2 linked regions of the Arabidopsis thaliana genome follow. The protein of the gene in region 1 interacts with the protein of each later gene in a pairwise test. Each region holds a gene or a part of one and is shown in the gene's direction. Other genes may lie near its edges.

What was found.
Region 2: the proteins of HB23 (region 1) and NAC020 interact in a two-hybrid assay, tested with the Arabidopsis thaliana proteins (one study listed by BioGRID).

The regions. Positions count from the first base shown.
Region 1 is NC_003076.8:15,908,140-15,914,812, forward strand, and holds HB23 (homeobox protein 23), read left to right. Parts: upstream 1-3,210; 5' UTR 3,211-3,403; coding exon 3,404-4,408; 3' UTR 4,409-4,721; downstream 4,722-6,673. UniProt on the Arabidopsis thaliana protein: Putative transcription factor. Probably involved in establishing polarity during leaf development through the gibberellic acid (GA) signaling pathway.
Region 2 is NC_003070.9:20,277,135-20,283,864, reverse strand, and holds NAC020 (NAC domain containing protein 20), read left to right. Parts: upstream 1-2,912; 5' UTR 2,913-2,975; coding exon 2,976-3,132; intron 3,133-3,284; coding exon 3,285-3,553; intron 3,554-3,670; coding exon 3,671-4,150; 3' UTR 4,151-4,358; downstream 4,359-6,730. Other genes in the region: ICDH (isocitrate dehydrogenase), read right to left, coding at 56-99, 297-345; AT1G54320 (LEM3 (ligand-effect modulator 3) family protein / CDC50 family protein), read left to right, coding at 6,072-6,159, 6,403-6,461, 6,563-6,637, 6,715-6,730.

The DNA.
Region 1 (6,673 bases):
TTGGTATATAGCTTCGTGAAAATATCAAACCAAATCACTTATTTTAAGAAAAGCACAAAAAGGATTAAGGATAATAGAAGAACAGTGTCCTAACTTAAAGCTTCAGAGTCCATATTATCACTCCATATTTAGGGACACATATTTCAACTTTTTACACTCCACCATAGTTAGGTATGTGAGCCTAACAAAGTTCTCAATCCACAAAGGAACTTCCTCGATCCCTGTTTGGTTTAGACAGAGACATGAGATGTTGCTTGAGATATCTGGAAAACTCTTCAACTTTGAACATCCACTAAGATCAATTCAGATATTTGAAGTTAGCACCAGTGGGAAGAGACTCTACATTTTTCCTTTTCATCAATTCTAAAAGTCTTCACCTTTTACCAAAACTTCTGAACACTAAAAGGACAGAGGAGACTCTCAAAGTTTTATTGAGCTCTCATATCCTTAAACCGGAAAGAACCACATAATCTTCACTACTAATAGAATCAGGAGATAAAGGCCAAGAGGAGAGTGAAGGAGTCATCACAAGACAAACAATAAATAGCAGTCTGAATATAATTTAATTGTGAAGCTTGCAAACATTATTAGTGTCCAAAAAACAGCACTTGTTTTCATGTTTACTGAAATAGTAATGCTTATGTTGTTCCGTTTAAAGAACATGTGATGATCGCACAGAGAAGAGAGAATCACTGAAATAGTGTTGAAAAAAGAGAATGTTACATACCTATGATGAGAAAAGACAAAGACAAAGCGCACTGTGGAGGAATCAGAACTTAGCCTGCATTGTAAACCGCATGATCAAGACTAGTTACCGGTACACAGTGTTCCTGACTTCTTCAACGTTGTCCTTATCTGTCAACATTTCACATTTATGTTCATGTACTTGTTAAAAGACCCTAATAAGCTACCTACTTGATGTTGCTACTATAGAGTGAAGCAATTTGGTGTATACCTCCTGCATCAATCATGATACAATAGTGACATTGGAAACCTCTATGGAAAGAGAAAGTGCATGTGCTGCTAAATACTATCCAACTAACCATAAACAAGTTGGAGATAATTCAGCTTATTATAACATATAACTGGTGTTTCACTACGGAACACATGTGCTTAGTTCTACTTATACAACTAACACACACAGAATGCTTATGCAGCCCACATAGAGCTACTTCTTACCTCTCTCTCTTTCTCACTGTAAAATAAAAATGAAGGAATTAAAAATATAGAATAAACATAGTTTTAAACTAATTTGGAAATACATTTGTCTAACATTAAAATAATTTATACCAATAAGTTTATACTTAGTTACTTGCTAAATCAAATAAAGTGATGATTAGTGATTACATATGCCTATGATTACAAACAAGTGTAACTATGATTTATGCTTCGAACCCAATCATTTTGAGACGTTAGAAAGGGGTAATTTGGGGTCTTCAAACTTCCTTCTTGAATTTGTCTATTTTATACTCAAGTCCTCGGATGGGCTGTTCTGAAATCACTATAGTTGCATGTGTGCAATAACCCGGCCCATAAAAATTAATGCCAATTGTATTATTCCATTAGCCCATTAAGTCATCAATCATTACCACTAAATCTGCTATAAGATTAGCTTCTCTACCTCTAAAGTCTAACCAAAAAGAAAGTCGAAGATATCTTCATCGTTTGCATGTAATCTCCTTTACATGACCATGAAGTCCTTCTACCCATTATGTTTTGGGATTGCATTAATTAAGAACAGAATAGCACTCTCCCCAAAAGAATTCTTTGGAGCCGCAATTATTTAAGCAAAACATTGTCCGTGGATGATTCTTTACGAACGGGCCGTGATAGTTGTGCCAAGGAACATCTCTGTGGGAGAATTCAAAGCTAGTAGGATTCAAGCTCAAATGGACTTATTAAGCTAGGTAGAAATAATAGAAAGATTGAAATGAAATCGCTTATAAAAACTTTATTATGATGCAATTAATAGAAAAGAAAAAAGACTTTAACTTGTCAACAAGAATACAATGATTCAAAATTGATATTTTTATAAGGGGTTTGTGCAAAAAAAAATCATAATTAAGTCGCTAATTTTTTCAACTTTACCATTAATCTCTACAAAATACATAATAATCCTATAAAATACAAAATAAGACGCAATATAGCCCTATACATATATTGTAAATGTTTCTATGATCACATACATTTGCTTTTTAAAATTGTGAAAGTAGAGTTGGACTCCTCGTCTCGAAGATTTTAATTTGATATATTATTTATCAAAATTTTAAAAATTTAACTATAACAAAAAAATGAAGCTATATTGCATATTATTTTTGATTTCATACAATTATTTTGCATTTTTTTAGAGATAGATGATAAATTTGTAAAAATTGACGTCTTTGAAAGTTATTTTTGCACAAAATTCCTTTTATAAAGAAAAAGAAAAAAATTTGTTTTGAGACAACTCTTAAGATTACCTTACAATACATTGATATTTAAAAACAAATTTATATGAATCTCTAGTAGCTATCACCCTAGTTACATTGGCTAATGGATTTCTCATAATAGTTTTGGATCCTCTAATAATCTCTAGTTTTGGATCCTCTAATAATCTCTAGTATATGAAGGACGGAATTTCGATCATTGCTCTCAACTTGTTCATCAAAATCTAGCAAAATTGACATTTTCCGTCGAATATCACCCATATAAACTTAACCATAGTGGAAACCTAAAAATTCACCCCCAACTTTTACAAGAAAGTGATCTTTCTCATTCCTTCATTTGAAAGGTTTGACCTTAACGTTTTTGTTGTAGTCGAAGGAGTATCTTTCACAACATTGCTGATCTTAGAACAAATGTAACCCATTATTACCATAAGACTTATTTTTTCTTTTTCAGTTTTGACTTGTGCCTTTATGTTTAAGACACTAGTAGCCACATTTATTACGCTTTTTCACCGCAAAATTTAACACGCACTCTCTTTGTCGATCCCACAAACTCCATCTACCTAACCATGGTTAAAAATCATCAAACCTTGGTTCCCTTGATTAAAATATCCCTAAATCCAAGTCTCTTTATTATTTCATTTAAAATCATAAATTTAGTTTAATACAATTGTCCTTTTTCAAAATATTATTTCTTTATTTGCTTCAGCAACAGTCGTCATAGTCATCATATCATTTTCTTCTTTTCCTCCTCTAAACGAATATTACCAATAAAAAATCAAGTGGAAAATATGTAATATTAAAAAATCTCCAACAGCTTAAGAAGTTAGAACCTTTTTACTTATCTTTATTTCTTCTTCTTCTTCATTTTTCTATTCACATTCTCTGAAACTCATACCATATTTTCAAAGCTCTTAACCCAAAAACCCTAAGTCTTTTTTTTCTTCAAATTATTGGTTATATTAATGTTTTAAGCTATGATGGATATGACTCCTACAATAACAACAACAACAACACCAACTCCTAAATCACCCGAACCCGAATCCGAAACTCCGACCCGGATCCAACCGGCGAAACCCATTTCCTTTAGCAACGGCATCATCAAACGCCACCACCACCACCACCATCCTCTCCTCTTTACTTACAAAGAATGTCTCAAAAACCACGCGGCGGCTTTAGGTGGTCACGCTCTCGACGGTTGCGGCGAATTCATGCCGTCTCCGTCGTCAATCTCCTCCGATCCAACTTCTCTCAAATGTGCTGCTTGTGGCTGCCACCGTAATTTCCACCGCCGTGATCCAGATAACAACAACGACTCTTCCCAAATCCCTCCTCCTCCTTCCACCGCCGTAGAGTATCAACCTCACCACCGTCATCATCCACCACCACCACCACCTCCTCCACCACCACGTAGTCCTAACTCAGCTTCTCCTCCACCAATCTCTTCCTCTTACATGCTCTTATCTCTCTCCGGTACTAATAACAACAACAACAACTTAGCTTCTTTCTCCGATCTTAACTTCTCCGCCGGAAACAACCACCACCACCACCACCAACATACTCTTCACGGATCTCGTAAAAGATTCCGAACAAAATTCAGCCAGTTTCAGAAAGAGAAGATGCATGAATTCGCCGAACGTGTTGGTTGGAAGATGCAAAAACGTGACGAAGACGATGTTCGTGATTTTTGCCGGCAGATCGGAGTTGATAAAAGTGTTCTCAAAGTTTGGATGCATAACAACAAAAACACCTTTAACCGCCGTGATATCGCCGGAAACGAGATCCGGCAAATCGATAACGGCGGAGGAAACCACACTCCGATTCTCGCCGGCGAGATTAATAACCATAACAATGGACACCACGGTGTCGGAGGAGGAGGAGAGCTTCACCAGAGTGTTAGTAGCGGCGGTGGTGGCGGAGGATTTGATAGTGATAGCGGCGGAGCTAACGGTGGTAACGTTAACGGATCATCGTCGTCGTGAAGTTAAAGATGAGAGTGTCAGGTTAATAAGAAGCTTAGAGTAAGCTTATTCGTATTATCATCGTTAATAACTTTCTATTAAATATTAATTAAGATCTTTAGCTTTGTTTGTTTTTGCATTATTATTAGTTTTGATTTAATGTTCTTTACCACGTCGGTGTCTCGCTCGATGAGGAATAATACCATAACAATGTTCGAATTATATCATTTGTTGTAAACATTTCTATTAATGAACCCTGAAATGTGACTAAGTACTCCAATAAATGGTACACTTTTGATGTGGTAATCTTGTTTCGGATGAAGAAACAAAAAGATTAATAAACGAGTGAAACATGATTAGTTACTATAAATATTCATTTGGTTTCTTATCTTTTAAAGTACTCTTCTTAATTTTATTTGCAACCAAACTAGATGTAGTAGGTGTACTTTTTTTCTTTCTTAGATCCTCTTAATTTTATTTTATTTTTTTATTCTATATCAAATGATTAGCCATCATTAGTATATTAGTAGCATTGTTGTTAACACCCAGTGTTTTCACGTCCGACCCGGACCGTCCGGTCCGACCGGTTGAACCGTGACCCGAACACTTTTCCGGTTTGGGTTTAGTATTAAAATCCAACAAGTTCAAAACCGAAAAAACCCACAAAAACTCATCATTAACCCGTGACCCGATGAACCAGTTGAACTGGCCGGATGTGGGTTTTAAAAAATTCTCTTGATTTTGGAATAAAATATGAGATTTTAGACTTTATTCAATCAATTTTTAGATATTTTTCAGTTCTTAAACCCATTTGATGTTTAAGATTTTGATGAAGACTTCACAATGCCGCCTTAAAAAATGAATCGAATGGTGAGTGAGATATCCGATATTAGTTGTGTGAATTCACGATGTTTTATTAGTTTATTTCCATCATTGCTGATTTTTTACTATATTTGTTACGGTATTAGACATTTAGTTGGATTTAAAAAATTTCATCACTTTATTATTATTGTTTGATTATATATTTATATTTTTTTTTGATGTAAATGATTATTTTTGTTTTAAAATTTATAAGAACTCTAAAAACTCTAAAATCTCTATTAATATTAAATTTATTAAATAAATTTTAATCAATTGACCCGTAGTCTAATCTAATTAACCCGATGATCCAATGATCCAAAAGGTAGTCCGATTCACTGGGTTGGTTTTAAAAATATTGTTAACACCATTTCCTCTTTAATCTATGTCATTGTCATGGATTCATTCCGATAACCCATTTTTGGTATATATGCTTAGTTTTGATTATTCTCATTTGAGAAGTACAAACCAGCATATACCTTTTTATACTTAGAGATTGAATTAGTACAATTCATACTAAAGTTTGATATAACTATTATTATATCACATCGTAGCATCCATAAAATCTATACAACTTCTAAATAAGGGTTTAAGGCGTGGCACTAACACAAATGATTGAGTTGATGAATAATTTAACAATAACTTTCCATTTGGGGAAACGTAGGGATGAGTACTGATATGTCGGCTCTCACAATAAAGAATGAGATTAGGATATTATGGGTATCTCCCATACGGGTTTGTTACAATTATTTAAGCAATTCATTACTACTATTTCTTTATTTAATTTATATAACGCATTTAGTCAAGTCACAAATATCTTTCCGTATTATCTTGGTGGGGACAAAACTTTTGCACAAGCTGAGGTTATGGCCCTAACTGCCATATACCATGTGCACCACTTGTTAATTAATAGTATTATTTATTTTTGTATCAATTTAGCCATCAATTCACATTATCGCAAATAAAACAAAATTAGCCATAGTATAATTTCAACTTTTTTTCTTTCTAATTTATAAGAAAAATACATATATTTAGAACCGAAAATAAAAAATATGAGACTAAACAAGAAATTAAATAGAGAATTATATGTAACCTCAAAGTTAGAATGTATTATGTATAATATAATGAGTCTATCGGTAATTCCAGTATTTTGTAGGTACAAAATTGATCGGTAATTTCTTAATTTTTTTGGTTCAAAATAAATCCGCAATTTTTAGGAGGTAATTTATATTTTCTAGCTTTAAAATATAAAGACAATAAGTCTATCACCTTTTCAGTCGAAAATAGATTAGACATATATACTTTACTATCTTCCCAAAAAAAAAAAAAAAAAGAGTACATAACTATAGTCAGTTGTTTTATTGAAATAAGAAGTAATATTTTATTGAGTTACATTGTGAACTGCAAGAAAACAAATAATAAATGAAT
Region 2 (6,730 bases), on another chromosome or scaffold:
CACAAAAAGAATTCAATCTGTGATTAAAGATTTAAAAAAAAGTTAAGATTTTTACCTTGTCTTTGATGAATTTCCAGATAACTCGAGTCATTTCGTCTCCTGCTTGTGCACAGAGAATAAATAAAGAGTCAAGTTTCTGAATTTATTTCATAAAACTATAACATATAGAAGAAAAGAAAAACCCGGAACAGAGCCGATCACATATACTCCAATATAAGCAAATCAATCAATCAGAGTAACGAGAAACCCATAATCGTAATCATAGATTTGAGCTAATTGACTGTTCGAACACTTACCATCCATTTCAACAACGGGATTGATCACCTTGATCTTCTCGAATTCCATCTTTGCCCGCAGAGGTTGGTAATGATCGACGAGTGAAATTGAATAGTGAAACGATCACCTCTGCTCCGCCATGAAAGACAGACGATAACAGCTCTATATCTCTATGTTGGGCCACACTCTTCCAAAAGCCCAAATAATCAAGCCCACTTATATATGGGCCTGATTCTGCAATTTGAAACCATGCTTCTCTTTTTGTATACTAGCATCATCTTTGAATTCCCCGCAGTGATAGTCAGCTTTAACAGTAATCATCAAAATCTTAAAATTGAAGAAGATCTGCTTTGGCTAATTGATTGAATAATTAATCAAAATTTGAGATAACAATCACGAGGTGGTCCTGTAGGATTAGTATATTAAAAAGAGTAATGAGTGTGACCACTTTAACAAGGGTAGAAATGAGATTTAATGCATGGAGAAAAGCAAAAGGCAAATAACGCAAATGTTTTTGGACAGTGACATTGTTCTTCTGCTATAATTGAGATGCGTGAAAAAACATGAAAGCAAGAATCTCTAGAGACACAGGGATTCCAACTTGTATTATTTAAAGGCTTTTCTTTTTTCCTTGGATCAGTTTGTTTAGCACAAACTAATATGAGATGGAAAAAAAATATGTTTTGGAAACCGACATGTAGGGAATCAGATGCTACTTTTTCTGAACAAGACTCTTCTTCTCTTTTAGAAGAATTGTGATTGATGTTGATGTTTAAGATGATGTATGATCATTTTATTAACAAACCAACAAAAAAGGGATGATGTATGTATTATCATGATACATGATACATGTCAACATGTATATCGTATGTATGTATTATCATGATTCCCCCATAGAGTCCCGCCTTTGCCAATTTCGTCATGGATATATATACACGTAAAGTTTGTTTACTATTCATTTAATAATGTCACTATTGTGTTACGTCTAATTAATTAATGTTTATTTGATACTCTAGATATCAATACTATAAGCTTGAGAAAGAGTATAGGTACTTGATACATGTGAAATGGAAATATAAAAGGGTTGATAAGATAAGATGCTTAGATCTTAATTAGCTTTATTCGCTTCCCCTTAGATCGTATCAAAGGTTGCATGTCTTTAGTTAGGCTTGCATGTTAGCTTCCTCGTTGTCTTTATTAATTAATTAATCCACATTCCTTTTGCATTTGTGATACAACATTTATATATATAGTCACATTTTTTTTTATATATAGTACTCACATTAATTACTTGTTCATATAGACTTAGACTCGATTTGTGACCAAGAAAAACAAAGTGGTGAAACAATTGGGGCATGTCTTGTTGTTGTCGTTTGATAAGTTAAACTGTTAAAGCATCTTTCGCCAAAATATTTTTCAGTTGCTATCTTTTGTTTTTTGTATCTGTCACTCTCTCTCTCTCTCCCTAAGTTATTGGTGACCACATCTTAAAGCTTCCCTAAAATGTTATTGTTATTTCTTTCTCACGGAAAAGGGAGAGTTACTTACTTGAAGTTTGAATATTATACTTTATAAGAATGGAGGAGTTTTATATATGTCGCAACTTGTGGACTCCCTCAGTATTTGATCATTTCCTTACATAAAACGTTTGATTACTTCATTCTGTTAAATTCCGTTTACAATGTTCTTCGTCTACATGTGAATTATATATATTAGCAAACGAAAAAAAACCATGTAAACGAGACATCTAATATATGACATGAGTTATATATATCATACATGTGAAGAATGAAGATGTCCTTATTTTTTTAATTTATCTTTTGGATCGAGGCCGAGAGTCGAGGCAAAAGAGATTTGACCGGAAGTTAGTAAAATTGAAGGGCCGAGAGAAAGAGAGTCAAAGATTGTGTGGGAGTAATGATGTAAAAGAGCCGAACAACGTCTTTAATCCATATGTAAAAGGGACTAAAGAAGCCTCCCAACACTAAAGCCAAAGTCGACTTGGATGCCTCCTGCTTTTTTATTCTCCCATTTTTTAATCATATATATGAATTCAATTTATAAGTATTCTTATTATAAGACCATAACAACATAAAACAATATAACAAAACTGTCAAACCGAAAAAAAAAGAAAAGAAAAAGCCGAGTGTTTAGGTGTCGCCAGGTAGATTTGGTTTGAGAAGAAGAGATGGGTCCCCTAAACTGTTGAATCATAAAAAGCCTTCATTTTTGGTTTAAAGCAAACGTTATAAAAATCCCTCTATAATGATTCATGACCCACGTTAAGGTCTAACCGGAATTATAAGCATATACATTCATATATGTGAGTATTTGTGAGATGGGGCCTTCTTGCTAAAGCTTTTTCCGTCTCTCCTCCTACTAGGGTTTTCACACTTGCAGAATCTTCAAAAGCCAGAGTTAGGTTTTTATTTAAAATATATATATTGGTTTTAGAAAATATGTGTGATGAGTATCATGACAAACACTGACCAAAAAGCAACCCAAAGTAAGACAAAATATTAATCTCAGAAGATGCCAATCCCATGGCATACTTTTACACATTCCCATATCATATCTTCTTCAGAGTCTCATCTTTTTAATTATATATAGTCACCTTCATATGTCGTACGAACATCCTAATCACTTTAATTAATCTCTCTCATCTCTTTCTCTCTCGTTTTCTAACGCATACACTTTGAATGGCGCCCATGAGTTTGCCTCCAGGATTCAGGTTTCATCCCACTGATGAAGAACTGGTGGCTTACTATCTTGATAGGAAGGTCAACGGCCAAGCCATTGAGCTCGAGATCATCCCAGAAGTTGATCTTTATAAATGCGAGCCATGGGACTTGCCTGGTACGATCCAACTCTTTATATCTCTCTCTATATATGGTTCAGCTTGTTTATGTCAATCTGACGTTATAGATTACATATATTGGTCATGATGCATTCATACATATGATATTGGAGGTTTTATGAGTTATTTATTTGGATAATACGCGGAACAGAAAAGTCATTTTTGCCGGGAAACGACATGGAATGGTACTTTTACAGCACAAGGGATAAGAAGTATCCAAATGGCTCTAGGACGAACCGTGCGACCCGAGCGGGTTACTGGAAGGCCACGGGGAAAGATCGTACAGTAGAATCAAAGAAGATGAAGATGGGAATGAAGAAGACACTGGTTTATTATAGAGGAAGGGCTCCTCATGGCCTTCGTACTAATTGGGTCATGCATGAATATCGTCTCACGCACGCTCCTTCCTCCTCCTTGAAGGTAAATTATTTCCCATGCACAAACTTCTATTAACATATATATCTATATTCATTTCTGATCTAATTTTTTTTTTTTTGATAAACCATATCGACTAATATTAATGTTGATCTAAAACAGGAGTCGTATGCATTGTGCCGAGTGTTTAAGAAGAACATACAAATTCCAAAGAGAAAAGGGGAAGAAGAAGAAGCAGAAGAAGAGAGCACTAGTGTAGGAAAAGAAGAGGAAGAAGAAAAGGAGAAGAAGTGGAGAAAATGTGATGGTAATTATATTGAAGACGAGAGCTTGAAAAGAGCATCCGCGGAGACATCTTCATCAGAGCTAACTCAAGGGGTCCTTTTAGACGAAGCAAACAGCTCATCCATATTTGCTCTTCATTTCTCATCTTCTCTTCTGGACGATCATGATCATCTTTTCTCAAACTATTCTCATCAGCTTCCATATCATCCTCCTCTTCAACTCCAAGATTTCCCTCAACTTTCTATGAACGAAGCAGAGATTATGTCAATCCAACAAGACTTTCAATGCAGAGACTCTATGAACGGGACACTTGACGAAATCTTCTCTTCTTCCGCCACTTTCCCCGCTTCCCTTTGATAAATCCATATCTCATACTATCATCTAGTACTTCTTTTCTCAACTTATTTAAATATACTCGGGTACTTCATATATAGTATTTTTTTTTTTACTTGTTTTTTGCTTATGAATTAGTTTGACTGGTGAAAAAGGGTGAGGAGGTTTGTGGAATTATTTTTTCTACCACAAAAAGAAATTGCATTATTTTATTTTAATTTTTATCATTAGGTGTGTATGGTACTTAATCACTAGAGTTGGTTGGTTTTGTCATATATAGGAGGGAAAACGGAAGTAAAAATTGTGTAATCGATCGACATTACTTATTGGTTTGCATACTTGTAGACTTAAAATCTGGCATGGGCGTCATGGCAACGCAAATTTGGAAAACTTTTCGGATTATATATGTCCGACTGCGGATCAATATCTTATTTAACTATATATATGTGTTATGAATATGAAACAAAAGTTTTAAAATCTGAATGAATAAAGAAAAAATTCTCAAGAAAAGAAGCTGAAAACAAAGAAGAGAGAAAAATCGAGACAAATTTCACTACAAACAAAATAAATTCTTTATTAAAAAAGATGAGAATTACAAGACAATGATTAAAGACATCTCGAGTTTATGATACTATATATAGTTTGTGATTGATTTGGAAGATACAAACAACATTATCATGAAGAAATCTCTAGTTTATGATACTTTTAATTTAATTTAACCAAGTGATAGTGGTCTAATAGTTTTCACTTGAAGACGAATCATCGTTTTTGTCTAGGTCATACATTGATCTCTCTCAAATGCAAGATTATTTAATCATTCTTATTATACTATCCCTAAAACAATCTTACTATAAATGAATCTTTAAAATATATATATATATATATATATATATATTGCAGTTTCAAATCCAAACATATAATAAGATAATAATTTGTTCGTTTGAAATTCAACATGATCGTATATGCATAAACTTGCAATAAAACATACTAAACTTTTTAAATTTTGTATTCATCAATTAACACTGATCATAATCCCATCCTCTAAAGTATAAACTCTAGTAAAACCTCTATAAATTAATACTCGATAAATTAATAATCTCTATAAATTAAGAAATGTTTTTGGTTCCGAGTTGGGATCAGTATAAAAAGTGACACAAATCGATAAATTAATAAGATAATAATTTTTTTGAAAATCCTATATAAATATATGGTCTCATCAATATCATAAATTAATAATTATTTAAATGTATCAATTATATATATACATTATATGTAAGAAATTTCTTTGAAATATAATTCTAATATTTGTTTGCTTAAATTTGTATTTATCCTTATTTGAAATATAGTTTTAGTATTTTACTATATCAAAAACTTTTGGTGTTATTTTCTAAATATGATATTATTTTTTACTTGTAATTGATTCTTGAAAGATATTTTCTATAATGAAAAAAAATCTTATACAAATTTTTGAAAAGTTACTAAATTAGGAAAAATTTTCTATTAATTAATAAATATTAAATTATCGATAAATTAAAACCCCTCTAAATTAATAAAATTTTGCAGTCCGAACATTATTAATTTATAGAGGTTTTACTGTATCCAATATTTGAAGGAAAAACGTTCCAAATCAAAAAATTTGTAGAACTTAAAAACATTTTATGATGCATGGGAGATTTTGGGCTTCAACTCAACAAAATAGAGTAAAGCCCATTATAAAGCCCACAAAGTGGGCCTTTCATTTTGACGTCAATATGGGAATAATACCGGTTCTTTCTGTTAACGACGACGAATCTTCGTCTTCCCCTTGTTCTTCTTCTTCCTCTTCATTTTACTTTCTCTTCCCGATTTCTCTCTGTCCGATTCACCTTTTCCTCCGATCTCGGTCTCCTTAGATTCCGGAATAATCCCCTCAAGGCTTGGCTTAGTAATCGTCGTTTTCTCCGCCATGAGTTCCAATACGGCGTCGTCCAGCGCGGGGGCAGCCGGATCGGGAGATTCTTCCGCCGCTAGGAAGAATTCAAAGCGACCCAAGTGTATTTATCATCTTCCCTTCGCTATCTTCTTCCGATTATTCATTATGGCTTATCGTTGACTCTTCTGTCTTATTCGAATTGGATCAAATTCTCTCTGGACTTGCTAGTTTTTCAATAACAATTTGTTAACAGCTTTGGATTAGCTCAAATTCTTTGCAAAATTGTCGTTACAAAGATGGTTAGGGAACCATGGTCAAAGCTATGGCTAAAAGGTGTGATTTTGTTGGCAAATATCTTTTGCAGATTCGAAGTTCACACAGCAGGAGCTTCCAGCTTGCAAGCCAATTCTAACCCCTGGTTGGGTTAGATTTCTTTCTAATCTCTATTGATGTTTGAGACATCTGATTTCTGTACAAGGCGCAACTAAAAGCTCCTTTTTTTACATGTTTGTGCTGTTGTGCAGGTCATTTCGACATTTTTGATAGTCAGTGTTATCTTTATTCCCCTTGGAGTTATCTCCCTTTTCGCTTCCCAGGATGTAAGTAGTTACTAAAGCATTGCTGCTACTCATCAGATTCTCTTCCATATCTCACGTGTTTCATCTCCCATGTTTAGGTTGTGGAGATCGTTG